Linked DNA regions of Elephas maximus indicus. The protein of the gene in region 3 interacts with the protein of the main gene of each other region in a pairwise test. Links are inferred from orthologs where the notes say so. Each region holds a gene or a part of one and is shown on either strand. Other genes may lie near its edges. The genes, in order: PAK5, PIERCE1, FHL3 and RHEBL1.

The links.
Region 1: the proteins of FHL3 (region 3) and PAK5 interact in a two-hybrid assay, tested with the Homo sapiens proteins (2 studies listed by BioGRID and IntAct). The two-hybrid records come from large-scale screens. The link is inferred for Elephas maximus indicus from reciprocal best matches to the Homo sapiens genes FHL3 and PAK5.
Region 2: the proteins of FHL3 (region 3) and PIERCE1 interact in binary tests that used the Homo sapiens proteins (3 or more experiments, as listed by UniProt). The two-hybrid records come from large-scale screens. The link is inferred for Elephas maximus indicus from reciprocal best matches to the Homo sapiens genes FHL3 and PIERCE1.
Region 4: the proteins of FHL3 (region 3) and RHEBL1 interact in binary tests that used the Homo sapiens proteins (3 or more experiments, as listed by UniProt). The two-hybrid records come from large-scale screens. The link is inferred for Elephas maximus indicus from reciprocal best matches to the Homo sapiens genes FHL3 and RHEBL1.

The regions. Positions count from the first base shown.
Region 1 is NC_064843.1:48,555,382-48,562,300, forward strand, and holds the start of PAK5 (serine/threonine-protein kinase PAK 5), read right to left. Parts: upstream 3,009-6,919; 5' UTR 2,904-3,008; intron 1-2,903.
Region 2 is NC_064827.1:3,242,537-3,249,754, reverse strand, and holds the start of PIERCE1 (piercer of microtubule wall 1 protein), read right to left. Parts: upstream 3,017-7,218; 5' UTR 2,134-3,016; coding exon 1,991-2,133; intron 1-1,990. Other genes in the region: MRPS2 (28S ribosomal protein S2, mitochondrial), read left to right, coding at 3,635-3,677, 4,100-4,225, 5,408-5,537, 7,094-7,218. UniProt on the Homo sapiens protein: Microtubule inner protein involved in the attachment of outer dynein arms (ODAs) to dynein-decorated doublet microtubules (DMTs) in cilia axoneme, which is required for motile cilia beating.
Region 3 is NC_064821.1:79,579,897-79,587,678, forward strand, and holds the start of FHL3 (four and a half LIM domains protein 3), read right to left. Parts: upstream 3,018-7,782; 5' UTR 2,847-3,017; intron 1-2,846. UniProt on the Homo sapiens protein: Recruited by SOX15 to FOXK1 promoters where it acts as a transcriptional coactivator of FOXK1.
Region 4 is NC_064822.1:104,488,708-104,496,274, reverse strand, and holds the start of RHEBL1 (GTPase RhebL1), read left to right. Parts: upstream 1-4,547; 5' UTR 4,548-4,731; coding exon 4,732-4,783; intron 4,784-5,384; coding exon 5,385-5,456; intron 5,457-5,787; coding exon 5,788-5,855; intron 5,856-6,118; coding exon 6,119-6,201; intron 6,202-6,288; coding exon 6,289-6,345; intron 6,346-6,547; coding exon 6,548-6,595; intron 6,596-7,220; coding exon 7,221-7,302; intron 7,303-7,462; coding exon 7,463-7,552; 3' UTR 7,553-7,567.

The DNA.
Region 1 (6,919 bases), on a different chromosome or scaffold from region 3:
CATTGGGAGGAAGACATGTTGAAGATGAGGCTGGCCCCGTACCCAAGACTTCAGGAGTCTCTGTAATCCGTCCCAGCTGTATGGATGTGTTGTATGCAGGGAATTCACATGATACTGCCTTTTGTGGATGAGAAACTAGAAGGATCAAGAAACCAGGAGGTCTTCTTAGGAAGTTATATTAGTAGCCCAAGTGAGAGATGATGACTTGGAGTTTGATGGTGTTGGTGGTAGAGATGGAATGGAGGCTCCATTGAGATATATTTAGAAAACAAAATTTATAAGACCGTGTGATGGTTTTGGATGTGAAATAAAGGGAATGGAGGTGTCAAAGATGATCCTCGGGCTTCTGGCTGAAGCAACTCCATGGACGATAGTGCCATTTACAAGGATAAGAAAAACTAGAAAGGTGTTAAGTTTGGGATATTTTTGTTGCTGTTGTCATTTTGGTTGTTTTCTTTGGATTTTTGCTCATTTGTTTTGCATTGTGTTGGTGGGGTAGCAAAAGGGAGGAAAACCATATCAAGAAATCAGTTTGGGACAGTACATTATAGATAAGATCTGAATCCTGGATTGTCTGGGTTTCCAGATAAGTGAATCTGTGTAAGTGAGGTACCTCTAAGCTCTGTTCTTCCCTTCACCACGGAAGGGTACATAAACCCTCAAACAGGTTAGTTGTATTAAATTATTTTTAAGGTCTTTTTTGACCTTATCTACTTTACTTTACCTTCTTCTTTTAGGCTGACATAATATTAACATTGTCATTAAAATGGTTCATAGGGATTTTGGGAAGATTAAATGCAATCACATGTTTGAACCTGACTAGCATAATATGGGAGCCCTGGTGTCACAACGGGTCAGCGTTTGGCTGCTAACCAAAAGGTCGGCAGTTCTACTCTGCCCCATAGGGTCACTATGAGTTGGAATCAACTCGACAGCAATGGGTTTGGGTTTTTCGGGTTTAACATAATATGGGGCACATAGTATAGGTTCAATAAACATCCATTTCCCTTCCCCTTATAATGGTCATCACTATTTCCCTGGCGGTTAATACTATAAGTAATCTTCACACTTACCTATTTAGGTATTACTCTTCCTACTTCCAGGTTTGTTTTACAGATGAGGGAACTGAGGCTTGCGAAAGCTAAATAGCTTACCCAAGATCACAGAGATAAGTGTGGAGGAGCTAGAGTTCAAACTCAGCTTTGTCTCATCGAGATGATACCATATCCTAGAACACCCATTTCTAGTACCAGTAGTGTTGGTGTTTTCAATGCGTGCAATGAAAATTCACACTCATCACCAAAGTAATGAGTTGCAATCAATCAATCAATCTCTATCCATTCACAGAGGAACACAAAAATTTTATTCTAAGACCAATGGTATCAATGAACTTGCCATCAACTTCTATTGCTTCCATTAGCAATGCTTCTGCTTGGTACATACGTATTCCAAGTCAAGGATTTACTTAAATGCATTTTTCTCAAGCATTTCCCATTTTATTTTGATGATACTGGCTCATTTTTGCCACCTAAGGAGACCAGAAAAATGAATAGTGTCAGTGTAGAAGTGTCTCTAAACTTCATATTCACAGATGTCCATCCTTTATATCATAAAGAAAAAAATTAAAATGTTGAATACATACAAATGTAGGAGAGAACTTACAGGATCATGTCAATTCCCTGAATGGGATATGCAAATGTAAGGTTGTAGTTAGGGACTGGTTTCATAGAATTCTAATTTAGAAGGAGCCTTTAAAGAGCATCTTGTCCTTCTAGACTCAGGAAAGAGGGTGTACCCTCATGCCACCAAAACAGAGAAGAGAAAAGAAGGTGCAGAGAGGTTCTCTAAGTTCCCTAGGACCCTACGACTATTTCCTGGTAGCATCTTAGCTGAATGCCAGGTTTCCTGATTCCCCACCCCCCCAAACTGTATTCAGTCTTGCAAGCTGTCATCAACTATTAACAATGACACTTCTCTCTGGCTTTATGCCAACTTCTCTTTCTCTTTATTGCCCTGGCCTTGAAACGTCCATCATAAAAAAAAAAAAAAAAAAGATAGCACCAATACTTTCAATGTCCTTTACTGATATGTAATGTTGAGGCATTAACTCATGTCCTATGTTTAAAGCTCCAGCTAAACACGTTTCAAGAGAGGTGATCAGGCTTGTCCTCCAAACCCAAACTGGGCACTGATGGTCCCTGGACTTTTCAAGTTTACCCTCCAGGAAGCCAAAACCGCTCACAATTTTGACAAGAGTTTGGAACCGAGATCCTCTTCCACACTCTGCCCACACCCGTGCCCACAAGCAGAAGTTGGTTCTCTCCATTACAACCCACCACGCGCACACACACATACCGAGGCAAGTAACAAAGGAAAACACAGCCCTATAAAGGCTCAGCTATTGGTTCTTCCAGTCCACACCTGCCAAGAGACAAAAATCATACCGGAATCCTGCCCTGGCAATATGTCCAACACTACTCGGGAGAAACAGGCATCGTGGCACCCCCGGGCGTGCGCGGCTGTATACACAAAAGAACCGGTGCTGGGCTTGCTAGAGGTCCGGGGTACCAGCGCGCTCCCCGGGCTGCTATCTAGGTTTCTTCCCCACGCCCTCTCGCCCAACAGAAAGGAACTACCCTTTATTTGACCCATAGGGATCCCAAGCTGAATGGTAGCGCATGGGGGGTGGGGGGATAGTCCTTGGATCCCTTCCTTCTAAGCAGCCGGTCCCCAGCCTTGGGCATCTCCTAGGAGATGCACAATCGCGCGCTGTCACTGATGTCCTCTTCGCATCCTCTCCCGGCAAAGCAAGATGCCCCGGGTCCCAGCCGCGCGCATCCCCACAAGCGCCCCTCCCCGTGCGGATGTCCACCCAGGCAACCCCGCCAGGCGCGCCTGCCTACCTGGTGGCTGGCTGTCAACGAAGCGCGGTGGCTCATCCCTTTCTTCTCCTCAGCCGCTACATCGCTCCGAGCGCCATGTTCCCGGTCTCCCCGGGCGCACGCTGGGGAACTACTACAAGCTGAGCAGGGGCAAGGGGGGCGGGGGCCAGAGGGAGGGGGTGGGAGGTAGAGCCACAGCTTTCTACTCTCCACCCAAAGCTCCTCCCGCTACTGAGCATGTCCGGCTGCCGGGCTTCGCCCCTAGGAGGACGTGGCAGGAGCACGCGCCACGACTCCGGGTTTTCGTGACAGCCGGGGAGGCGAGCTGGAGCGGCGCAGGCCGTGGAGAAGGGGTGGGTCGGGGGAGTGTCGGCTCGCCCTACAGCAGAGTGCGGGGCACGCAGCCCTTAGCCGGTCACGCTTTTCCCTCTGGCCTCTCCGCGGGGGCAGCTCGTGCGCGCCCTCCCCACACCCTCCGGGTTTGCCGAACTGTTGCGCGTGCAGGACAAGGCCGGGCTGAGCTTCGCTTAAAAAGCCAGCAAGGGGGAGGGGGGGAGGAAGGGCGGAGCCGAAAGGCTGATCAGCTGCTAGCAGTGGGGACCACCTGGACCGGCACTTCTCAAACTTTACTGTGCCTGTGAGTGAAATGTAGATTCTGATTCGGTTCTGGAGAGGGGCCTGAGATCCCACATGTCAAAGAAGCTTCCAAGTGGTGCTGATCCTCCACACTGGGTAGAAACGACCCGGACAACTCCTCATGGGTGGCTTGTGAGTGGCTGTCCCTCAATCAGCTGTCCCAGAAATGGTCTCTGGCCCCACATAGGCCCCTTCTACCTACAGATGACTTGGTAACTCCACAAATGTAGTAGCACCTGGGGTTGCTGTGCCCTCTAATACCGAGCTCTGATGTCCCAGCCCTAACTGGCTACTATCTGGTTTAGAAAATGAGGTCTGGGCCTCTTGCTGCCAACTTTGCTCGTTAGCCACCACTGAACTGCTCCACTAAGTGTGAACCAGTGTGCCTTGCTTGTTCCCCAGTCTGGGCTTCAAAGTGTCAATTTATTGTACATGTAATGATAGGGCTGGGAAGCCCTGGTGATGCAGTGGTTAAGGACTACAGCTGCTACCCCAAAAGTCGGCAGTTCAAATCCACCAGCTGCTCCTTGGAAATCCTATGGGTCAGTTCTACTCTGTCGTATAAGGTAGCAATGAGTCAGAATTGACTCAGTGGCAGTAGGTTTTTTTTTTTTTTTTTTCGGTTTTTACCTGACTAAAAAGAACTGACAGATTCTGATAAAAGGAGGGCAATTTTTGTGCCAAGAGATGACAGGCTTTTCTCTTGAGTGATGCTTGGGCTAAAGCTTCTAACGTATCTTGTGGTTCTACTTAAATCCTCCAGTTACCCATTCCCCTCCCAGCTCCCAAAGGCTCCAGCATCGTCAAGAGTATTCCCTGCCCACACGACAGTGAGAGAAAGACATGAGGAAGCCAGGCATGAATTTTCAACCTTGGAGAACAAATACTAAGAGTAAACAAGTCATACCCTCTTCTGTCCTCAGCTGCCTCAACAATACACTTATGAGCTAGTGCATATGGTATCATGGGAGCCCATAACTGAATAGATAGCAGATTACAAAATGAGGGTTTGTATCTATCAGTACTCTATTATACTCAATAACCATAGACTGTTTTCTCGTTAGTGGTGGAATAGTTATCATTTCCCCTTGTTTGTCTTCTGTTCACTTAAAACCCTCATGCAGCAGCTTCTGTATCAGAACAGGAATTGTGGGCTAAATGGTTGATGACTTTTCTTCCTCAGTACTCCTGTGTATGGTGGGGAAATATATCATGGCATATCGTACACTCATGGTGTACCAATCAGAGGAATAGGAGTCTCCAAACCCATCTCTTTAATTCTCTAAGCTGCACACATAGCCCTAACTACCCACCTACCACCCCCACTGCCACCTGCACCATTATTTGCATAAATATTTTCTATTTTGATTTTTTTGTATGTGAGTGAGCACAGATGCAAAAGAAAACATATTCACAGAGTTATTTATTTGTTGGCTTGGTGGTATCAATTAAAATTATGCTTTGAAATACAGTGCTTTGATCATTTAAAATATCTCTCCTATTATATATAACGCTTGTGTTCATGTGGTTATTTCTACTAGATAAATACTATGATTATTGTTAGCTGCCTCAAATTCATTTTGAAAGTTTGCCAGGTAAAAATTATAAATTAATACTAATAATATTTCTGTAAATACTTTATTGCATTAAGTGCCAAGGGATTTCTTTTTATATAATGTCTTTTCTTGATAAATAAGTGGAACTTAGAGAAGTCATACAGCAAAGTATCTAAGTAGGGCAGAAAATTTAGGAACTTAACTTGTGATTCTGTCTTTTCAACTCGCTGTGTGAACCCGAGAAATTAGTGAGCGTTCTTTCTTACTTTCCTCACTTTTGCAGGCTGGCTTCCGCATGATGCTGGCTCTGAGACAGAGTTTAGCATGCAGGCTGTTGATTAAGGAGTGCCCTTGGGCCCAACACCTATGGCTGAGAGATGGTGGAAGCAAGAGTGGGCACAGGGAGAAGTCAAGCTGTGACACAGGCCGATGACAGGCTTGGCCAACCTCACAGGGAGTTCTGGAGTGAGAGTGGCCCTCAGAGTTCCCCCAAGATGGGCTGAGATGGTCTGGTCTTTGTATCGCCTTGTGAATCATTGCGTATGGGCTGCCCCTGGAAGGGGCTTGAACTTCAGATGAGGCAGCTCCCTGAAGCTGAGGCAGTGGAACTCAACTGATTTGCCAGAAAATTTCAAAAAGTGTAAATTTTTAAATAAGTAATGGCTTTTCTAGCCAGCTCAGGGATTTAAAGGTTGGGCAATAACCTGTAATCAGAAGTTGGAAGTATTTTATCTGATTATTTAGTTGTCTAGGTATATACATTCTTTTTTCTTATGTGAAGAATTATAATCTATTGAGCAGGCATATATTCATTTTCTGCTATTCAAGAAGTCTTTTCTCTGCTATCAAAATCTATAGTTAAAATCTGAAAGCTTTGGGATATTAAATATTAGATTGACCTAGAAGAACATGTTTTTCAATAAAACAGACCTACCCATTGGTCAATATTTCATGAAAAACTGACCTCAACCAATCTTATAAAAAACCTGTGGAAAAATGTACCTCAGCGGTAGTAAACTTAGTAGATGAGTTGAGGAAGATGTTTAAGACAACACACTGGAATCAAGGTTCAGCTTACTCTCCCTACTATTTACTCTCCCCCATGCTGTTAATCAGCAGATAGCTTGTTGTTGTACTGTTAGGTGCAATCTAGTCAGTTCCAATTCATAGCGACCCTATGTACAACTGAGCAAAACACTGCCCAGTCCTGCGCCATCCTCACAATCATTGTTATGCTTAAGCCCGTTGATGGAGCCACTGTGTCAATCCATCTTGAGGCTTTTTCTCTTTTTCGTTGGCCCTCTACTCTACCAAGCATGACGTCCTTCTCCAGGGACTGATCTCTCCTGATAACATGTCCAAAGTATGTGAGACATAGTCTCACCATCCTTGCTTCCAAGGACCATTCTGGTTGTATTTCTTCCAAGACAGATTTGTTCAATCCTTTTGCGGTTCATGGCATATTCAATATTCTTTGCCAACACTACAATTCGAAGGCATCAATTCTTCCTCAATTTGCCTTATTCCTTGTCCAACTTTTGCATGCATATGAGGTGATTGAAAACACCATGGCTTGGATCAGGTGCACCTGAGTCTTCAAGGTGACATCTTTGCTTTTCAACACTTTAAAGAGGTCTTTTGCAGCAGAAGCAAATAGCTGGCATCCTTCAAAGGTCAGTCACAATAATAATGGAACCAGCATGGATTCCAGAAAAGAACTGGGCATTTGCTAGATTATTGGGTTAGAAGAAGAACAGGAGTTGGAAAAGAAGATTTCAACTAACATAAACAAAAAGCTTATAGGATATACATCTGTCTTGGTCATCTAGTGCTGCTATAACAAAA
Region 2 (7,218 bases), on a different chromosome or scaffold from region 3:
AAGGAAGGGTCCAACCCCCAGCGCCAGCTGGCTGAGCCTCCACGAGCCCCCTCCTGGGGATCACGGGGCTCCGGCTGATGGGGCCTTGGCATTGCCAGCCTCCAGCCTGCCACCCGGGGGTCCTTGGGCTTGAGTCCCAGCTGGCGGAGGCCATGCTTCCACCAGTGCAGATCAAGAAGAAGCCTGCCTGAAATGTGCAGTATCCACGGTCCCTGCCAGCAGAGCTGTTTACCTGCCAGACTCTGCATTCAGAGAGCGCAGCCGCATGCTAACTACAGGGTCTTGGACAAGTTAGTGCCTTTCTACATCTCAGAGACAATAGTAGACCTTGCTGTATAGGACTGTTGAGGGGATTAGGTGGTGGAGGGCAGCAAGGAGCTGAGCACAGGGCCCCACAGTAATAGATATCTGCTATCATTCATTGTCCCATTTTTCGCAATGTTATCCATAATTTGTTATGATCCACACAGTCGAATGCTTTTGCATAGTCAATAAAACACAGGTAAACATCCTCCTGGTATTCTCTGCTTTCAGCCAGGATCCAGCTGACATCAACAACGATATCTCTGGATCCACAATCAACAGCCATGGAAGCAGTAGTCAAGAAACCAAAAGATCCATTGCATTGGGTAAACCTGCTGCAAAGACCTCCTTAAAGTGTTGAAGAGCAAAGATGTCACGTTGAAGACTAAGGTGCGCCTGACCCAAGCCATGGTATTTTCAATCGCATCATATGCATATGAAAGCTGGACAATGAATAAGGAAGACCGAAGAAGAACTGACGCCTTTGAATTGTCATGTTGCTGAAAAATACTCAATATACCTGAACAGCCAAAAGAACGAACAAATCTGTCTTAGAAGAAGTACAACCAGAATGGTCCTTAGAAGCAAGGATGGCGAGACTGCGTCTTACATACTTTGGACATGTTGCCAGGAGGGGTCAGTCCCTGGAGAAGGACATCATGCTTGGCAGAGTACAGGGTCAGCGGAAAAGAGGAAGACCCTCAATGAGGTGGACTGATACAGTGGCTGCAACAATGAGCTGAAGCATAACAATGACTGTAAGGATGGCTCAGGACTGGGCAGTGTTTTGTTCTGTTGTGCACAGGGTCGCTATGAGTCGGAACCGACTCAACGGCACCTAACAACAACAACAACAACATTCGTTAGAGAGAAAAAGGCTAGCAATCTACTATAGAAAACCAGCCCATGAAAACCTATGAATCACACAGAACACGGTCCAACTCGCTGGCTTTGGACATGTCATCGGGGAGGTCAACTGCTAGAGCGGGACACTGCGTTTGCTGAAGGAGAGGGCCACCGGGGTAAGGGAGACCCTGGTGAGACAGACTGGCATAAAAGCTGCAGCAATGGGCTGCAACGTGCCAAGCTTGTGAGGATGATGCAGGACCAGGCAAGTTTTTGTTCTGTGGTACCGAGGCCGCCCTGAGTGCAGGGTGACTCCACAGCGGCCACCTATCACTCATCACGGCGTTCAGAGCACTTTAATAGCTTACGGGTGGTGGGTTCTGCCAACAGCCCCGGGATGGAGGTTTTGCAGAGGAGGCCTCGGAGGCTAGAGAGGAGGGGAGACTTGCCCCAGGGCACAGCGCGGTGGCATTGGGACCAGGCCTGGGCTTTCTGGTCTCCCCTGGGGCCCCTTCCACCCCACTGCCCTGGCCTGCACCCACCAACCCCATGTGTAGGTTTGCAAATTTTAGGCAGCACGTTCACAGCCATTGGCAGTCCAGGACAGCACGAGCCATGCTGCTGGCCACGCTACTGCTCTTGCCTTCAGATGCCAGGAGAGGCTGGGGGGGCTGGAGGACCCCTGCATAGAGGACTATCTGAGCGCTGGGAGAAAGAGCAGCTGGTGGCGCCTTGCTCACCACCCCCCCCCATGTTGGACCCGGGGGCCTCTCCTTCCTGTGTCCGCCAGGTGGACCCTAGGGGAGATCCAGCTCCCCTCACCTCGCACCTTCTTCCTCACCTGTAGCCCCGAAACCACCCCGGGTTGTTGAACCTGGCCGGTAGGTCCTCGCTCACTCGGTAATAGTCGCTGGTTTTCTCCGGGGGAGACTTGGCCTTGTGCTCGGCGGGTTCTGCCCACTCTTTGGGGTCTTCCTGGGACATTGTCTCTGGCCACCGCAGCAACGAGAAGGGCGGAAGCACGCTCGGCAGCAAAGCCGCGACTGTCGGCGTGGCGTCCTGTTGCTTAGCGACGGCCTGGTCACCTGACCGGGGAGGGCCCGGTTCTTAAAGGCGCCGAGCCACGCAGGCCAGGGCTTCTGCTGGGACTTGGGATAAATGCGAGGTCTAGAACCTTCCTGCGAACAACAAAGGGCTTGAGCCTGTTCCTGCTGGGACTCGGGGCTGCGGAGCGTGTCACTATTAGTCATCAGGCGAAAAGGCGCGCGACCCAACCGAGGATTTTTCCAAAACGCAGTGGAAGGCGCGCAGGATATGGAGCCTTGGGGTCGGATTTGGGGGCAAATGAAACCCGAGGTCCTGGGGGCTTCATCAGCAAATTGAGGGGGTTACCGTTACCCCAAGGCCACGTGTCAATCAATGATTTGACGCTTACTGTATGCGCCGGGGTGCATCTTGACCGGTAACTTCATGTGCCCAATACCCTGAGTCTAAATTTAAATTCGACATTTGGATAAATTTATGGAGTGCAGAGTGTTCAGACCTGATGGCCTAGTGGTTAAGTGCTGCGACTGCTAATCAAAAGGTCAGCAGTTCAAATCCACCAGGCGATCCTTGGAAACTCTATGGGGCAGTTCTACCCTGTCCTATAGGGTCGCTATGAGTCGGAATTGACTCCACGGCAACGAATATATAATATAAGTGTTCAGAAATAATAAATGGTCTCGGTGAGAAAGGTTGTATTGGCCTTGGGGAAGAAATCTCCTGGCGGGAGGCTAGGAGGGTCCTCATCCCCCAGGGAGGTTCCCGCGAGTGACGGCTCTCAGTCTTCTGGGGTTTGCCTCGCACTTCTGCAGCGAGGGGGCCAGAGGCCGCTCCTGCCGCCCTTCCCGGGACAGTGGTGGGAGGACCCACTACCCCGGCGACCGGCGGCCCCATCCGGACCTTGCCTGCGCCCCCCGCCCTCTAACCCGCGCGCTCGGCCCTCCTCCCCGCGGTCCCCGCACCCTGGCCGGGGGTCCCCCCGCCCCGTCCGGGACCCTGACTCCGCCCGCCGTCCCCGCCCCCCGCCCTGTGCACCCCAACCGGCCCCGCCCGGGACCCTGACCCAAGCCCCGGGGTCCCCGCCCCGCGGTCCCGCCCCCTGACCTGTGTCCCTCCCACCGCCCCGCCCCAGGATCTGACCCCGCCCCGCGGCCCCCGCCCCCCGACCTGTGCCCCCCGGCCCGGCCCGCGCCCTCCCTCCCTCCGGGCCGCGACGAGGCTCTGGGGCCCAGCACTGCGGCGGGTGCCGGGAACCAGGAGCCACGGCCGGAGAAGTCTTCAGAGCCCTGGGCCCGGGCGCGGGCGTGCAGTGCCACCTCCCGGCCTGCAGGGGGCGGTGCGGCCTGCGTGGCCGCGGCGGAAGAGGAAGCCGCCCGCCGGAAGTCCGGGACCACATGCCGGAAGTCCGGTCGTCCGGCTTGGCTCCGCGTCTGCCCGCGCCATGGCGCCCGTCAGGGCCGCGCTTCCTCGGCTGCTTGGCGCCGGTGAGCGTGCATGCCCGCCGCTCCAAGGGCCCGCGGGGAGGTGTTTGGGGCGGGGCGCAGGGTCCTGGGTGGGGGCGTGGGTCTTGGAGCCGCGGCGGGAACCGGCCCCGAGCGGGCGCTGAGATACCCGACGGCGCGCAGCCCTGGCCCGCGCGGGGCTCCGCTGCAGTGGCCCTGGGTCCAGCGCTGCGCTGGGGTCGGAGGGACCGCACCCGCAGCGGACCAGGACCCAGGGCCTGCAGGGCGGCCCGCGTGCGTCAGGCTGCGTCGGGCCGGAGGGCAGGCCGCGGGGGGAGGCGGCGAACTGTCGTCCGCCGGCTCTGCAAGGACGGACAGACTGCCGACAGCCCGCAGCTGGAGCGGAGCGCCTGACAGAGCCTCGGCCGCCTTTCTCAGCGTCTGGACTCTGCCTCCTCCCCCAGGTGCCTGGCCCAAGTCGCTGTGGCTGGATTTCCTCAGGAAGGCGACCCCAGAAGCGTCTCAGCTGAGCAACAGGACGTTTGGAAGCGCCCCGGCCTCTACTGTCAGCAAGCTCGAGGACCGTAGCGGTAACCCTGGGCTGCTTAGCAGATAGGGGGACATGCAGTGGGAAGTCAGTCAGGCCTTAGTTATCTGCCGCTTGGAGTCCTGTGTGCCTCTGGGTTTAGGTGTAAAGCCCTGGGGTTGCCTGGACCAAGGAGGGGTGGGGGAAAGGGCCGCCTGCCTGGTCAGTGCCTCAGTCTGTCATCATTTCCAGCTCTGACTGGCTGCTTTGTCCCCACTGCCCAAACCGAGCCCAGCAATTCCCGACAAACTACATGGTTAAAGCAGGGCCTTAGGGTCACCCAGCCTCAAGTCCCAACCCTGGCTCCACCACTCCTGAGCTGCAGCTGGGGTCCATCCGTAGCTCACTGCAGCTCAGCTCCGCTCTGGTCACCTGGGCAAAGAGCTGACATAGCACCTCCTTTCCAGAGCGGGAAGGAGCCCTGGCGGTGTGACTGGTTAAGTGAAAGATTGGCAGTTCAAACCTACTCAGCAGCGCCGCTGGAGAGAGACCTGGCGATCTGTGCCTCAGCCGACACCTCACCGAGCGCCCCAGTGCCCCCTCCTTACCAGATCCCCGGTCCTTCCCTGCTTGCAGGCCTTCTCAGCCTGTAAAGACTACAGCCGGGAAAACCATATGGAGCAGTTTTATTGTGTCACGTTGGGTCATTATGAGTCAGAATCAACATGATAGTACCCACCAACAACAACCACCGAGACATAGAGCTCCGAGTCAGAACACCCGAGCCTCCTCAGGGTCCCCTCTCCTGACGGGTCTGGTGACCATCAGGCTCCGGAAGGACTGAGTGCACTTTGTTAGACTCCCAATGGGCGTCAGCCCCAACTGCTGTCTTCTGGCACCTGAGACTGCATGCCTGAAGGTGCTAGAAGGACTTTAGAAACTGAGGGTTGGGCAGTGACAGATTTACCCAAGAGTGAAGTCGTGATCAGAACCCAGCTCCAGTTTCTAGTATCCTGAGATTACGAGGTTAGGAATTTTCAGCTGTAACAGAGGGCCTGAGCTTGTTGGGAGTAAAAATCTGCAGCTTCCAGATCGCCTGGTTTTGGGTGTTTTCAACTGATGGTTTCTCTCACCCACCCAGCCACGTCTCCTCTGTTCGCAGGCAGATGGGACCGGGTGGGCCAGTGCCACACTCTGCAACCTGCATTAAGAGTCATGTTCCTTTCTCTCTTGTGCTTTGCTGTAGATTTCAATGACGAAATTATAAATGAGCCCCTCAAGCACTCCGACTTCTTCAATGTCAAGGAATTGTTTTCTGTTACAAGCCTTTTTAATGCCCGCGTGCACCTGGGACACAAAGCCGGCTGTCGCCACAGGTAGGGTAAAACCCCTAGCTGAGTGGGATGTCAGCTTAGGTGTGTGTATCAGCGATTGGTCCCAGCAGGCCTTGTCCCTTCCTCCCTGGGGGTTCAGGGGCACATTTTGTACTGTCGTGAGTCATTCTGTTTAACTGAACGAAGGTTTCGGTGTCCACTCTGTCCTCACCACTGTTAGGTCCAGCCCCGCCATCCTCTCAGTGGGAACCAAGCTTCGGGTTGGGCACTGATTTATCATACGGCTTTGCTCATACTTCTGACCGCTCAGGGCCTTGGCCTGTGGCCCCCTGCCTGAAGCAGGGACAGAGCTGGCAGTAAACAAAAGGCCTGGCAGGGTCAGAGACAGAAGGGCCAGGAGGCCTAGGCCGGGGAGGGGTTGGTGAGGTCAGATCAGGTGGGGCTTTCTAGGCTGTAGGAGGAGCAGTGGGAACATGCTGGGTCACGTGGAGGAGTGATAACCATCAGAGGTGTCTGTGCAGCTCTTCTGACTACCATGTCATCAGCGGAGTGGAGGAGCAGCTGGGAGACCTCGTGGGGAAGTCACGGCCTTGGGCCATCCCAGGGAGATGTCAGGCAGGCCCATGGAGGGACAAGCCCCAGCCTGGGAGAGACGTGGGAGTGCAGTCCCTTGTGTAGAGGCGGGGCGCTGGGGGTCATCTAGAGAGGGAGGGCAGAATGGAGAGGAGGTCCCCCCAAGAATGAGCCCCGGGCCCTCTAAGGGCTGCGAAGAGGAGGAGGAGCAGCAGGTGAAACTGAGAAGGCACGGCAAGAGTATGAGGAGGGATGAGAACGGGGCGGGGGGAGGGACGTGGGGACTGCTTAGCGCTGCTGAGAAGGCCTGCAGGCAGGAAGGGACCAGGGATCTGGTAAGGAGGGTCATTGGGTGCTTGGTGAGTGGTGTCAGTTGAGAAAACAAAACCCAAGCAGGAGTGAGCTGAAGAGTGGACTGGAGGGGAGGCTACATGGACCACTGGTGTGGACGGCTCATTTGCCACACGCTGAGAAGTGGGGCAGTGCAGTCCCTCTGCCCCACTGACCCTCTGCCCAGGGCAGCCAGTGGTTCTATGCCCTTGGGGTCCGCCACCCTGACTTGCCTGGTGCCTGCCCCGACCCTGCCATGCTTTCAGCCTGGAGCCCCTCCCCTGCTCTGTTGGTCCCTCAGTCCCAGAGGGATCTTGTCTGTAAAGCCTTGGAGACCATGATAACGACAAATGGCTGCTGTGTGACCAACACCGGGGAGGATACTTTATGACACTGTGTTTAGACATCCAGCAGTTGTTAGAATCCCCATGTCCTGGGAAAGAAGCAGAGGGTCAGAAGGTTTCAGCCACTGCTTGAGGCTCCTAAGTGGCCTGCAGCCCTTCAAGCCCAGCCCCCAACCTGCCCTGCAGTCACTCGCTGGATGGGGTGGTCGCTGCTGTCTGTGCTCATGGGGGTGGTGTGACCCCTGCTGAGGAGCCTTGGGCCTGCTGTGGAGGGCTGTCATGAGGGAGGGGCTGGTGGTCTTAGCCTCGGGAGCCCTGTTCGCCCTCACCTTGCTTGGGTCTCCTGGACAGGTTCATGGAGCCATACATCTTTGGGAACCGCCTGGGCCAGGACATCATTGATCTGGAGCAGACAGCCGCACACCTCCAGCTGGCCTTGAATTTCATGGCGCACGTGGCCTATCGCAAAGGGATCA
Region 3 (7,782 bases):
CACACATATAGACACACAGCTGGCACTTCCTAGCAAACCTCCTAGAGCTCAGAATGGCTGGATAACAGACTTGGTGTGTGGAGCAAAATCTTAAATCTGGGTTTGAATCCTGGCTCCCTTCACTTACTAAGCTGGGTGACCTTGGGCAAGTCACTTAAGCTCCCTGAGCCTATTTTCCCATCTAATAAAATGAGGTAATTATAACTCTCTACCTCCTAGGGTTGTTGTAAGGTTTAAATGGGGTGATACTTGTAAAGTACCTGGTAGATAGTAAACAAAAAAAACCAAACCCGCTGCCATCGAGTCGATTCTGACTCATAGTGACCCTATAGGACAGAGTAGAAGTGACCCATGGTTTCCAGGGGGCGCCTGGTGGATTCGAACTGCTGACTTCTTGGTTAGCAGCCAAAGCACTTAAGCACTATGCCACCAGGGTTTCCTGGCAGATAGTAAACACTCAGTAAATGTTGGCTGTTGGTCTTTTTATTATTAGTCCATTTTTCATAGTGGGGTCAGATGGCAGTTTCTCAGCCAGGCCTGGTGTTATAGATTGAATTATGACCCCCAAAAATACATGTTGTAAATCCTAACCTCTATGCCTATGGTTATAATCCCATTGGGGAATGGGTTGTCTTATGTTAATGAGGCGGGATTAGTGTAGGGTGTATCTTGAGTCAATCTCTTTTGAGATATAAAAGAGATTAAACATAAGTTAGAAGCAGAGATGGGGGAAGAGAGGTGCCAAGCCATGTGAAGATTGCTCAGGAGCACAAGCTCAGAAGAGACTAGGACCCTCCCCCAGAGCCAACGGAAAGTCTCCTACTAGAGCTGGCGCCTTGAATTAGGACTTCTAGCCTCCTAAACTTCCAGAAAATAAATTCGTTTGTTAAAGCCACCCATTTGTGTTATATTTCTGTTATAGAGGCACTAGATAACTAAGACATAGGTAAGGGAACTGTACTTTCTCAGTGTAGCTGGGGAATAGAAGAGGCCCTGAGGCCCATGGGGCTGGCTGAGGAGACTAGGAGGGCTAGTGGTGGCTCTGGCCCAGCCACCCTGCTCCAGCAAGCCTATCTCTGCCTGCAACCTATCCCAGAGGCACAGGTGTGTGCGCACCAGCATGCAGCTTTGCCCTCCCAAAGAGCATTCACACCCACTACCTCATCAGGCCTCAAAAGACAGGCATCACTCTCCAGCTGAGCATAAGAATGCCAGGGCAGGGCCATGCCCAAGATCACTCAGGTAGTCAGAAAGCCCAGGTCTCTGCCACCCAGCCTGGAGCCCATTCCCGCTTCTCTCCCTGGAAATCCTTTGAAAGGGGTTTGGTGGTGGTGGAGGGGCTGGTCAGTATTTGAGGGCAGGGAAACAGGAGATGCTGGGTAATATCACCAGGACTGGAGCTTGGCTCTTCTCCCCTTTTACCCCCCAGCTGCCAGCTCTGCGATTGGAAGACACCCAGAAGCCTTTCCAATTACCCATGCCAACCACTCAAACCCTCCAGCCCCCAACTGTCCAGGAGGGCCCCACAGCTGTGAGTCAGGATCAGGACAGACACCTCCCCCAGCTCCCAGGAGTTGACAGGAGTCTTAAGGGGTGAAACCAAACTCCCCCACTCCCCACTACCAGGCACCAATCCCAAACTCCTTTCCCCCTTCAGTTCCCCCAAGGGACCTGGAAGTCAGAGAAGCTTAGGCAAAGAGGGATGGGGCACAGGATCTGGCAGCTGCTCTGGGGACAGGGGAGGAAGAGTTCATTCACCCTAGGTCCCCCAGGGCTGAAGCAATGCATCCAAGACTTGAGTTTAAAAATAAGTTGGGGCTGCCTTGGTGGCTGTGTGTATTCGTGGGGCTGCTTCTTCATCTCAATCTCACTGTCTCAGGTCCTGGGCCTCGGGGGGCTCAGCTGGCTCAGCTTCTGCTTCCCCACATCCTGGCTTCCCCATCTTTCCTGGCCTGGGTCTCTGGGTCTATCTTGGAAGCTGTCAGCTCGCCTGTCTCTCTGCTCCCATTAAATCTCAGTCTCTGGAGTTCTGGCTCTGCTCTGCTCATAATTTCTCTGTCTCAGCACACTTCAGCAGCTTTCCTTATGTTTTTGGGTGTCTGTCTTTGACTAGCTATCTCCCAGTGGTGGCCACCACCTCTCTGGATCTCTGCCTCTGTACACTCAAATCTTGGTCTCACAGTCTGTCTTTAGAAAGCCTCAGTGTCTCCACCTCTACCCTCTGAGCTAGACAGTGAATCCAGAGGCGGGCTTACCAGGAAGCTAAAGAAACATAAAGTTCAGGGCACTCAAAGGCCCTAGCAATGTGTTTACGGGGTCATATGAATGTCTTTTCTTAAAATGCTCCACAAAATCCTAATCTGTCCCTATATCTCGGGTCCGTCTCTCGGTGACTCTGTACACCAAGTCTGTGTCCGTGTTTCCATTATGTCTGTAGCCCGTCTGTCTCCGCAGACCCGGAGCCTAAGCCAACCGCTCATGTCCCTGTCTCTGTCCCGGTGTCTCGGTCCACCGAGGTTTCTGCCAGCCTGTTTCTCGGACCCTCCCGGTCTCTGCAGGCCGAAGTCTGTCTCTCTGGCTTTTCTATTTCAAACTTCGTCCCCTCCCCCGCCCCACTCTCGAGGCAGCCCCCGCTCCGCCAGGCGGCCGGGAGCGGTCCAGTCGGGACAGCCGGCGCTCCGGTGCTCAGCGCCTCCGGCTCCCAGCGTGCCCGGTGTCCCCGGCCGGACCTGGGCAGGGGGCGGGAGCCGCAGCTGTCCTTAACCCTGTGCGGGCTGTCTCCGCTCCCCGGCCCGAGGGAGGGGACCCGGCTCTGGGATTCAGAGCCGGGTCGGCGGGGAGCTCACCTCGAAGCAGGCGGCAGCAGCGGGGCGCAGCGCCCGTGAGGGTGGGGACAGGAACCGGGGGTCGCGTCTCTCGGCGGCTCCTACCTGCGGGCCGGGCCGAGCGGCGGCCGAGCGAGCTGCCGGCGAGGCTGCCGGCTGGAGACGGACTGTGTGGGCGAGTGGGAGCTTGGCCCCAACCCCTCCCCGAGGAAGTGAGCGCGGGAGCCCGCCCCGCCCGGCCCCCGCCCCCGGGCCCCCCTGCCCTCAGGGTGCGGACCCCGCCCCCGGTCCCCCAAGCGGGCCGCTGGGGGCCAGGCCCCGCCCCCACCTCCCTTTCAGACTGGAGCCAGCCCCAACCCCCCTCCCCCAGGCCAGCCTAACCTGGCCCTCCCAACCTTCCCGGAGGGAGGGACCCCACCCCTGCCCCCTCCCTGCAGCCTTTGCTGTCCTCTCTGTCTCCCCTTCTGTGCCCCCAGCTGCAAGCGGGGGATTGCCGTATTCAACCCCGGACAAGAGGCAGTGGACCCCGCAGACCAGGGTCTACTAGGAGACCAAAGAGTCCTCATGCCCTCTTTGTGTCCCCCTACCGGCTTTCCCCAGGGGTCACACTCAGCTTGAGCGTGTGTAGGAGGCCTTAACCCAGCCTGGAGGAGGGGATGGAGTCAATTCAGCTGTCACGGCTGGGTCAGTGGGAACTCAGGTGTTCTCCGGAAACAGGGGGTGAAGAAAGGGCCTCCCTATAGTGCCCTGACCTTCGAAGAGTCTTATTCCACAACCCTGAGCGGCAAAAACAGAGGTAACTACCTCCCCAACCCCAGCTGAAACCTGGCACTGTGAGATCCCGCCTTGATTTCCGTAGTGCCCAAAAATAGTTTTGACCTTTGATGCCCAGGGGAGACCCTAATCCTTGGCCCCATGATCTTTGGGCTTTTTTTTTTTTTTTTTAGGAGGGGTGTGAGGATGTGAGTGGCAGAAATAATGGAGGGGAGGGAACCCTCCCCCGTTTTCTGCAGTTTCTGAGCCTCTGGCTTCCTCCCTGTGCCTGGGAGGGAGAGCTGGCACCTGCCAGGGACATGGTGCCTCTCCAGGTTCTTGAGGCCACCCCCCCTGGGATCTTCAGGCTTGTCACTAGGAATAAATAGCCTCCCTCTGGAGGGAAGGGGGAGGGAGGAAGGAGGCTCTGCTGTACTGTTTGCAAAACAAGAGACAACAAACCAACCCTGGAAATAACCTCGGGCATCTAGAGATTGAGGTACCCACAGAGGCCCCCCAACCCCTCCCCAGGCTGAGTCCTGCCAAGCTCTCAGGGCAGGGACCCACTCCCTCCCATGCTGGGGCTCCGGAGGACCCTCCTCTCCCATCTCTGCATCACCTGCCTGGATTCCCACTCCTAAATTGCTAAATTGCCCTTCGGGCCAGGTTTCCTTTCTTAATTAAATAATTGCTTGTTTATTATTACTGTTGTTGTTGCTGCCTAAACTGCAAGTTCCATGAGGGCAGAAACTGGGTCTATCTTGTTTACTACTGCATTCTCAGTATTTATTCCAATGTCTGGCACATAATAAATATCTGATGAATGAATGAATGAAGACACTGCTTCAATCTGACTCCAACCCCCTAGTTTGGACCATAGGCACCTGCTATCCGGAGCCCAGGAAGTGAGCAGCTAGCCTATGGGTGGGCCCTTTCACTGGCATTGAGGTCCGCAGAGTCTAGGGACTGGTCTCACAGGTGCAGGGGACTCCCAGCCCTGGGGAGTCACTGAGTTGGAGTAGATGGCAAGAGGGACGTCTGCTCTGGGGTGAGGGAAGGGTGAAGGTAAGAAGCTTGCAGAAATGAAGTGGTTATGAGTAAGTAAGGAAGGCTCTGGATTAAAGGCAGAGTATTGGGTCTCTGCTGTTTTCTCATAGCTTGAATCTCTGCCTAATAGCCTTAATTATAATACGAGCCAGTGTTTCCTGAATTCTTACTTTGCACCAGTTCCTATCTAAGCACTTGACATGTAGGAACTCACCTGATCATCCAACAAATTGATGAAATATTATTTTTATCCTTACTTTAAAGATGAGAAAAGGGAGGCAGAGTGACACAACTAATAATGGCAAAGCTTCAAACTGAAATCCAGACAATCAAATGTCAAAGCCCCTTATGCCAAAAATAAGCTTAACCACTAGGCGCTACAGCCTCTATAGTCATTTAAGCCTTGGTCTCTTCATTTGTTGAATAGTTGACTCCCTATCACATAGTGTTGTTGTGAGTATTGGATGAGAGCACACAGTAGGTCTTCAATATTTGGTAATTACCCCCACTCCTCAAACCCACATACCCTTTCATGGTCAAGTGTTAAGGTTCTGTTGCTTGGATTTGGAGCCTGGAGGCCAGAGAAGGTTAGGACATCTCCTGGGGGAGGGGGACTGGCTTAGAGAAGGGGGACTGTGTCTTTTTCCCTCTCCATTTCCAGCTCCCCGATGGGCTCACATTTCCCTGCCCACTCTATTTCGGTTGGCCCAGGAGGACGTGCCGCATGAAGGCCTGGGTATCAGCCACATGGACTCTCTGTTCCCTATCTGTCTTCCCCCACTCTCTGGGGAACAGGTGTGTCTGAGCCAGGGCTGGAAGCAGAGTTTCTAGTGCTGCATGACAGGTTCGGGGTGAGTGAGATCTGGTTGTCCCTTTATACATCTGGGAGGTCCCACACAGCCTTCCTTGTCTCATGGTGGAAGGGGGCTTGCTCAGGGTCCCCAGCTGTTCTACCACCTTGGAAAGGTTTTCAAAGGAGGCCTGGGTGATGACTGACAGGCCTCTCATGGTTTCCTCTGGGTGCTGAATCACTCTCTGATGCCTGTAACCACAAGTCCTCCTTCACCCAGAGAGAAAACTTCCTTCCTTCTCTGAGTGTATTGCTCACTCTTACACGTACTAGGCAGCCTAGAGCCCCTGCAGGCCTCATGGCTTAGCCGACACCCTTTTGCAAATTGCCCAGAAAACACTGTCCTCGTGACCCCAAGCCTGACGATGGGTCTGTGGGTGGAGATGGTGAAATGAGTGACTTCTACTGAGCATGGGGGTAAGGGAGAAGTATGGTACAGGGAGCCCTAATGTGGTTAAATGCCTACCTTGTGCTAAGTGCTATCGTTACCTCCTTTAATCCTTATAAAAACCATACGATGTGTTATTATTATTACCACCATTTCATAGATTAGGAAATGAGGCTCAGAAGAGTTTGAGACTGTGGCCCCAAATCATAAGCCCACAGGTGGTCGATGTGCAGTTCAAATCCAGGGCTGACTCAGGGTTCCCCTAGGGCACAAAACTGCCTTCTGGGCATGCCTTTTTTGGAGGAAGTGCAGGAGTGGCTGGGCTGCCACCTGGTCACTCGGCCTGATGTGTGAGCTTCTTAATCTGGCTCATTATTGACTCTTGGCTTTTTGTAAAAGAGATGGAGGAAGTACAGCCAGAATGTTCCTTAGAAGCAAGTGTGGCGAGAGTTCATCTCTCTTGCTTTGGACATGTTTTCAGGAGGGACCAATCCCTGGAGAAAGACATCCTGCTTGGTAAAGTAGAGGGTCAGCAAAAAAGAGGAAGACCCTTTATGAGATTGATTGACACAGTGGCTGCAATAATGGGCTCAAACATACGTACTATCATGAGGATGGCACAGGACCAGGAAACGTTTCATTCTGTTATATGTAAGGTTGCTATGAGTTGGAGCTGACTCTACAGCACCAAACACCACCACCATTATGTACTAGACACCATGCTGGGAACCAGAGGCACAATGGTTCTAGTTCTAGCTATTCCACAAACTAGTCGTGTGTTCTCCATTAGACTAGCCTTCTAAACTGTGCTGTCCAATGGAGTAGCCACTAACTACATGTGGCTGTTTAAATTAAACTTAATTAAAATAAAAAAAATTAGCTCCTCAGTCACAATTCCATGTTTCATGTGTTAAATAGCCACACATGCCTATTGGCTACCATATTGGAAAGTGCAGATATAGAACATTTCCATCACTGGCAGAAAGCTCTACTGGATGGCGCAATCTGGGTCTCTGTGTTGCCTGGGAAATGGGGATAATAACACAGTAAAGCCTGCAAAAGCTGGAACTTGTGTAAGGAGGAAACCTGTTAGAGAAGGAAAACGCAAATATTTTTCAGTAAATAGAGTGCAATAGAAAAGTGGTGACTGCACCTGTTACAAGGCAGAAAACATTTTTTTTTCAAAGTTTTGAGGATCATTTCTTTTTTTTTAATTTTTATCATGTTTTAAGTGAAATTTTACAAACCAAGTCAGTCTCTCATACAAAAATTTATATACACCTTGCTATATACTCCTAATTGCTGTCCCCCTCATGAGACAGCACACTCCTTCCTTCCACTCTCTCTTTTCTGTCCTTTCAGCCAGCTTCTGACTGCCTCTGCCCTCTCATCTCCCCTCTGCACAGGATATGAAAGGCAGAAAACTTTTGAGACTTGGGAAAACAAGGCAGTCCCGTCAAGTTCTGGCCCTCACAGGTTTCATGGTATAAACATCCCCTCACAGAGTTGATTGCAGGGTGGCGGCAGAGATGGTGGTGGTGGCAATTTATTAATTTACAAATATTAATGTAGTGCCTACTCTGTGCCAGGCACTTGCTCTAGACACTGGGGATACAAGCAGCAAATAAGACATGATTCTTGATCTCATGGAGATTACATACATTCATGGACATGTGTGGAACTGGAGGTTGCGGGGTGAAGCAGAAATAAATAAGAAAACAAGCAAAAATATCAGACTGTGTTTTGAAGAAAATAAAATAGAGTGATGTGATAGGCTGGGGATGGGGGCTGCTATAGCAAATGCAGTGATAGGAAAACTCCCCTTGGAGAGGATATTTGAGCTGAGATCTGAGGGGCAAGGAAGAGCCAGTCAAGTGAGCATCAGGGTAGGGAGTTCCAGGCAGAGGGAAAAACAGTTG
Region 4 (7,567 bases), on a different chromosome or scaffold from region 3:
GCATTTTGCCTTCTCAGGCTTTAAGGTCCAGCTCAATTGAAACCTTCTATGATTCTTCCAGATGGAATTAACTGTTTTTCCCTCTATGCTTCTAGCTTCTTACACTGTGATGTGAGATTTAATATAATTTGCCTTAAACCTTTACTTGAAGAATTTTTCATTATGTGAGAGGTATATCATTCAAAGTCCTTGTAGGAAACAGACGGCACACTCAAATGGGGTATTGAGGAAAATATAACGAAAAGACTGTTTATAAAGGGGTGAATGAGGTAAAGGGGTACCAAGAGTGATGGAGCATTCTCCATCTGGCATCAGTGGGGAGACATTACTACCATAGGTCTGAAGGGTCAAGGGGAAGGGGTTACAAGAACCCAGAGAAAGCTGTAACTGTAGTTGTATAACAGGGTTGTGGCCTCTGATAGATGAATGTAACCACTGCCAAAATGTAGCCCAACAAGAAGCGAATAGGAGAATAAAGACTCTGACCGTCTCTCCTCTACCCTACAGTCTCTGGCCAGTGCCTCCCATTAGCTAAATACAACTGGAGGTCAGAGGGCACTCATCCAATCTATAAAGTTCGGCTTCCCAGAGCATAGAACAGGGTTGAGAAGGCTGAAGAGAGGATCTGCAGAAGCAAACCAAAGATGCCAAGCTAGTAAGAACCATAACGCTAAAGTTTGGGTCTTTAGTGAAAGGCCTCCAGGTCAGGAAGGAAAGTGACAGAGAGCATCTGAAAGCAATTTATTAGCTAATCTAAATCTAAGAAACATAGCATGTCTACGTCTTATCTTAACTCTATATCTGCATATGCTAAAAAAATGTTGATAGCAAAGCGAGATGATTATCCATTTTCCTAATTAGAAGACCCAAAATAAAAGGAGCTGTTTGGTCAACTTTTTTTTTTTTTATTATGCTTTAAGTGAAAGTTTACAAATCAGTCTCTTATACAAAAATTTACATACACCTTGCTATACACTCCTAATTGCTCTCCCTCTGATGAGATAGCACAGTACTCCCCCCACCCCCGCCCCGTGTAGATTCGGGTAGCTTCTGGACACCTCTGCCCTCTCATCTCCCCTCCAGACAGGAGATGCCAACATAGTCTCATTGTCGACTTGATCCAAGAAGCTTGTCCTTCACCAGTTTGAGCCAACTTTTAGGAATTAAACAGTCAAATGTATACTTATAACATTACATATAAACTAAGTTACATATAACTACTAACCCATTGCAGTTGAGTTGATTCCAACTCATAGAGACCCTATAGGACAGAGTAGAACTTCACCATAGGGTTTCCAAGGCTGTAATCTTTACAGAAGCAGACTGCCACATCTTTCTTCTGCAGAGTGGCTGATGGATTCGAACCGCCAACCTTTCAGTTAGCAGATGAGTGATTAACCACTGTGTCACTAAGGCTCCCCTAGTTACATATACATACTTAAAAGCACATATCCTATAAAATAATAGATTGATTTTGCTGTTTTTCCATTTCAAGAATAATTTTATTCAAGCTCTTTATATTCATTTTCAATATCAGTGTTTTTATGATCACCAGAACTTCTCTTGAAACTTAAATGTGATGATGGAGGTGAAATTAACTTGAGACCATGAGGTGATAAGCATGAGGAAAAGGTCAAGAGAACTGCAGATGCCAGATCTGACATTATACAGACTCATGGCACTTACCTCCAGTTTTGCTACCTGAGAAAAATAAATCCCTGTTTAAGCGATTGTTACTTGAGTTTTCTGTTATCGCAGCCAAATACATTCTTAACATTCAAGTGACTACAACAATAAGCTGAATATCAGAAAATTCAGGTTAATGTAGGTTGGGTGCTCAACATCAAGTTTCCAGCAACAGATGTCGTAGATGGTCTCATTGTCTACCACGAAGATACTTCAGAAGAAAGGCCCAGCAGTTTGTTTCTGAAAACTTAGCCATTGAAAACCTTATGGAGCACAATACTACTGACACATACGGGGTCCCCATGAGTCAAAATTGACTTGACGGCAACTGGCACAAATGTCATCTTCTCAGACTTTCTAAGATCTCATATAAAAAAGAGGAGTATCATACCCCAAGTTACTTTCTAGCCCATTAATATCCTGTTGTGTTTTTTAAATTTCATTGTGTTGTTGTGTTGCTGTTAGGTGCTGTCAAGCTGGCTCCTACACACAACAGAACAAAACACTGCTTTGTCCCGGGCCATCCTCACAATCTTTGATATGCTTAAACCCATTGTTACCAACACTGTGTCAACCCATCTCATTGAGGGTCTTCCTCTTTTTCACTGACCCTCTACTTTACCAAGCATGATGTCCTTCTCTAGGGACTGATCCCTCCTGATAACGTGACAAAGTGTATGAGATGCAGTCTTTCCATCCTTGCTTCTAAGGAGCATTCTGGTTGTACTTCTTCCAAGACAGATTAGTTTGTTCTTTTGGCAGTTTCACTGCAGTTATTACTTTTTTTTTTTTTTTTGGTAACTTATGTATTGTTTGCTTGTAGATTGTTGGTCTTCACCTGAAAGAATACTTGTTTCTTGAGAGCAAAGACCTTGTCTGTGTTGCTCATTGTTCTGTTCCCAGAACCCAGAAAGGTGCCTGGGACATGGTATTTGTTCAATAAATATTGGTGATGAATGAACCAACAGACCCAACTATCAACCTTAGGGTTGTTGCCAGTATTAAATGAGATAATGCATGAAATATACCAAGCACATTGGCTGGCACATAGTCGTTGTTGTTAGATGCTGTCGAGAGTAGAACTGCCCCATGGGGTTTCCAAGGAGCAGCCGGTGGATTTGAACTGCCAACCTTTTGGTTAGCAGCTGAGCACTTAACCATGACACCACCAGGGCTCCTGGCACATAATAGAACTCTTCCCTTCCCTAATCTCCTATACCAAATTCTTTAGCAAGTCAGCTTGACTTCAGCTTCAAACATGTCCTGAATCTCCACTTAATTTCATCTCCACTACCACTATAGCCAAGCCACCAGCATAACTATCTAGACTACAAACAACAGTCTCCTAGTTGATCTCCCTACCTCTAATCCATTCTCCATAGCCAGGGAGACCTTTCAGAAACACGTATCAGATTACGTCATGCCCCTGCATGAACATCTTCAACAGCTTCCTCCTGTTGCCATCAAGTAGATTCTATTCTGACTCATAGTGACCCTCCAGGACAGAGTAGAACTGCCCCATAGGATTTCCAAGGCTGTAATCTTTAAGGAAGCAGACTGCCATATCTTTCTCCTGCAGAGCAGCTGGTGAATCCGAACCACGAACCTTTTGGTTAGCAGCCAAACAAGAGTTTAACCACTGCACCACTAGGGCTTCTCAACAGCTTCGTAACAACAACAACAAAAAAAACCCAGTGCTGTTGAGTCAATTCCAACTCATAGCGACCCTATAGGACAGAGTAGAACTGCTCCATAGAGTTTCCAAGGAGCGCCTAGTGGATTCGAACCGCCTACCCTTTGCTTAGCCGCGTAGCACTTAACCACTACGCCCCCAGGGTTTCCCGACAACTTCCTAGGTACTTAGAATTAACCCAAATTCTTTCACCTGACCTGACCTCTGTCTTCCTCTCAGACTTACCTGATTTAGGCTCACTGGCTTTTTGCCCCCATTCCTGGGATTTACCAAATTTATTTCTACTTTATGATCGTAGCATTGGTGAATTCTTCTGTTGGAATCTACTACTAGTTGGCTCCTTACTGCCATTCAGATCTCAGTTTAAATGGGACTTCCTCTTTTCCTCTGAGAGGAGGTATCACTAATCTAAAGTGGTCATTTCTTATCACCTCTTTTATAGCACTGAAGACTATCTGATATCTCCTTGTTTATATGTTTGACTTCCCCCACTGGGTTTTAATGTTCATGAGAACAGTAACCTCTTCAGTCTTGTTCAGTGCTCTGTTCCCAAAGCCTGGAGCATAAAATAGAGCTCAATAAATATGTTGAATAAATGAATGTATTGAGGATTAAGATGATGATGACGACGATACCTCATACGACTTGGCCACAAATTCTAGCAATTTTTCTAAGAACAAGAATTGCCATTCAGAGGTTAGATTCTGGAAGACTGGGGAAATCTGACGACTGTCACAAAAAGGTCTGGGGCTGAAGGCTGGGGGAAGAGAAGGGAATATATTTAAATGTTGGCCTTCTTTCCCCATCCAAAGACCCCAGTGGCCTTGTAAAAGGGAGGACTAGAGTCATTTGACCAGAAACTCCAGCTCAGACACAGCGGGCATTTCCCATTCGTGGTTCTTCACAGCCACTCCGCTAGTTGCAATTGCGCAAACATCTCTAGGACCCCGGGTTCCTTTCTGTTTCTTTATGAATGAGCCGGCTCCAGTCTGCGCACGCGCAGCTCCCAGCTCTCCCGCTCCACGTGAGACCCACCCTTCCCTCCTGCTCGCGACCCCGCCCTTATTCTTTCTAATAGACCAATGGGGAACAACCTGGGGGGCGGAGCTCGGAGCGGCGCGGCAGTGTAGTTCCCTCGGCGCCGGGCTCCCTCGGTTTAGTCGTGCAGTGTTGTGATCACGTGGCCGGCTCCGGGCGCGGCGCTTGTTTTGGTTTCCCTATAGCTTGGCCCTGGCAGCTTCTGGGTGAGCGACTTTCTTGCACGGTTGCCACGCCCGCTTACACCCTGAGCTCCTCTTCTTCGGGCTTTCTCAGCCTGCAGTTCTCCAAGCCCCTTGGGGCGGGCTCCTGCCATGCCGCTGGTCCGCTACAGGAAGGTGGTCATCCTCGGATACCGTTCTGTAGGTGAGTCTCCGCCTTGGGGAGAGCACGGACGCACCGCGGCTTTGTGGCCAAAGGGGGCGCTCTGTCGCGGGAGCCCGACCCAAGGAGGAACGGAGACATCGTGCGAACGTTAGTGTAGAGCAAGGATTGAAAGGGTGGAAGAGGAAGGGCTGGGTGGGATGGGGTGGGGACCGCTGCAGGGACCAGGGGCACGCAACGGTTAATGTAGGATTGGCTACAGGAACAGTAGAGTGATTCCCTCGGCTACGTTGGGGGTGGGAGTAGGGTCAGGATTTGGTGCAGGGAGCACGGTCTGCGTAGGGCTGGTGGTCGCAGGTGCCCAGGATCGGGGCGGACTAGACGCTAGGGAATCCCGAATCTCCTGGGGGAAGGGAAGGCTGCGGGAAAGCCTTCCTGCGGCGCCACTGGTTGTAGTGTAGCTGATGTACAGAGACCCTGGGTGAAAAGAGAGTGGCAGTAGGCAAGGGGAAGGCATTCTTGGAGCACTCACAGGCTGGGGTGCTAATTGGGGGTCCCTGTTAGTCCAGGGCCAAAGACTGAAAGGTCGGAGGGTGTGAATGTGAATGGGGGATTTGGATACAATTACCACTGCTCCCCACAGGGAAGACATCTTTGGCACATCAATTTGTGGAAGGCGAGTTCTTGGAAGGCTATGATCCTACAGTGGAGAATAGTGAGTAGAATTCTCTGTTAGTGTGACAGGGCTAGGGCTCCACCCAACTCCATAATGTGGAATTTCTCTGGTGCCAAGGGTCTTATTTAATTAGACATTAAATCCTTTTCACACAATCCTGTTCTGTGAGTGGAGCTAGAGTTTGGATCTTGCAAGATACTGTGTCCAGGGTGGTGTAGTTGTAGACAATAAGAACCCTAGCATTGTCTTTCCAGTTTCCTGGAGAGCTCCCTGGACCTGGTCCATCCATTGTTACCCCCAGGGTTAAGATTGTATGGGGGCACATGTTGCTAGCCCTACAAGGCCCCTCATGGTCGATTTTTCTTTTCAGCTTACAGCAAGATAGTGACTCTTGGCAAAGATGAGTTTCACCTACACCTGGTGGACACTGCAGGGCAGGTACTAGTTGGGGTAGGGTAGCCGAACGTGGCAGTTCAGCCTTGGGAGGTGAAGTTTTGTAGCCTCTGAGGCTTATTTGAGAAGTAGTATTAAAAGTAAAGCATTTTAGCAGCTAGCAGTGTGCAGGGCTCATTGGAGCTACATTATAAATATTTGTTGAACAGAAGTAACTGGAGTAGGGAGGGTCCCTGGGGTGGAGTCCCACCAACCTTTGCCACCTGAATGGTGTAGATCTAGGTATTGATGTTTCTATTTCTTATCAGGATGAGTACAGCATTCTGCCCTATTCATTCATCATTGGGGTCCATGGTTACGTGCTTGTATATTCTGTTACCTCTCAGCATAGGTAAGTGAGAAAGGCTGTGAGTGGGGGACTTGTAGGACCTGGGTCTGTCCCAGATTTAAGGTTACAGCTTTATATCTGTGTTTGAAGCTTCCAAGTCATTGAGAGTCTGTACCAAAAGCTACATGAAGGCCATGGGAAAACCAGGTAAGTGGCCCTGGGGGACAGAAACATCCTGTGGACAAGAGGGGGTGGAGGACAGCAGAGGGGAGAATGGTCCAGTTAGGGAGGACACGAGTACTGCCTGGGCTGATGGGGAGTTGTTCAGCCCTGATGTGACTGACGTGAGGGAGGTTAGGGTCCATGAGGAATGGAAGGGGATCTTATAGTGACTGCTGTTTCCCTACAGGCTGCCGGTGGTGCTAGTTGGGAACAAGGCAGATCTCTCTCCAGCTAGGTATGTGAATCTCTGCTGCTCAGGATGAAGGAAAGTGAGCTGGGCCAGGAATCACCCAGGCCCTATTCCTGCCGCTGCCACAAGTTTTGGCAAATCATTTCATCTCTGTTTCTAACTTGAGGGTTAAGATGAAGTACCCTTCTATCTCAAAAGCCATAATTTCCCATAGGGTACCAAAATAACACTGAATGAATGAGGAGTAAGGAATAGGAACGAAGTGGGTGGAAAGTATTAGCCCTGCTTCGTCATAAAAAAGACCACAACTATCACTGCTTGGAAAAGGAGAAAATAAAGAATGGAATTAGTCGTGAGCTCTCCCCCGACACAGAGAAAAACAGAGAAGTCAACAACAAAAGATTTCTCAATTTATTTGTGTATATACATCATCACCCCAGGGAGCCAGCTCCACTTCAGGAGTTCCCAGCTCCCCTTACCCAGCCAATATCCTACAAGCCTTTGTCCCACATTCACTCCTCACTCCTTTGTTTATATCTTCTTTCTTAATCCTCCTCCCAAACCTTGGGAAAGTGGGGTAGGTCAGAGGAGGTCTAGATTCTAAAGATGTTGCAAACAACATGGGGGGACATTGCCATCTTCCATCTTCATGTCCTGAATTTGTTTCCAGGGAGGTCCAAGCAGTTGAAGGGAAGAAGCTGGCAGAGTCCTGGGGCGCGACATTTATGGAGTCATCTGCTCGAGAAAATCAGGTACTTGACCTGGCCATTAGCAAGGTAGAGGGAGTAGTACTGTTTTTCTCATGGCACTTCTTAGTGGTGGGGATGGTGGGGAAGTGGGGTGTTCACCTCAGACCTGGGTAGTGTTGGCATGAACTAACTAACCTTTGCCTTGAATCTCTATCCTTTGCAGCTGACTCAAGGCATCTTCACCAAAGTCATTCAGGAGATTGCCCGTGTGGAGAATTCCTATGGGCAAGAGCGTCACTGCCGACTCATGTGAGCCTTTGGGCATGGG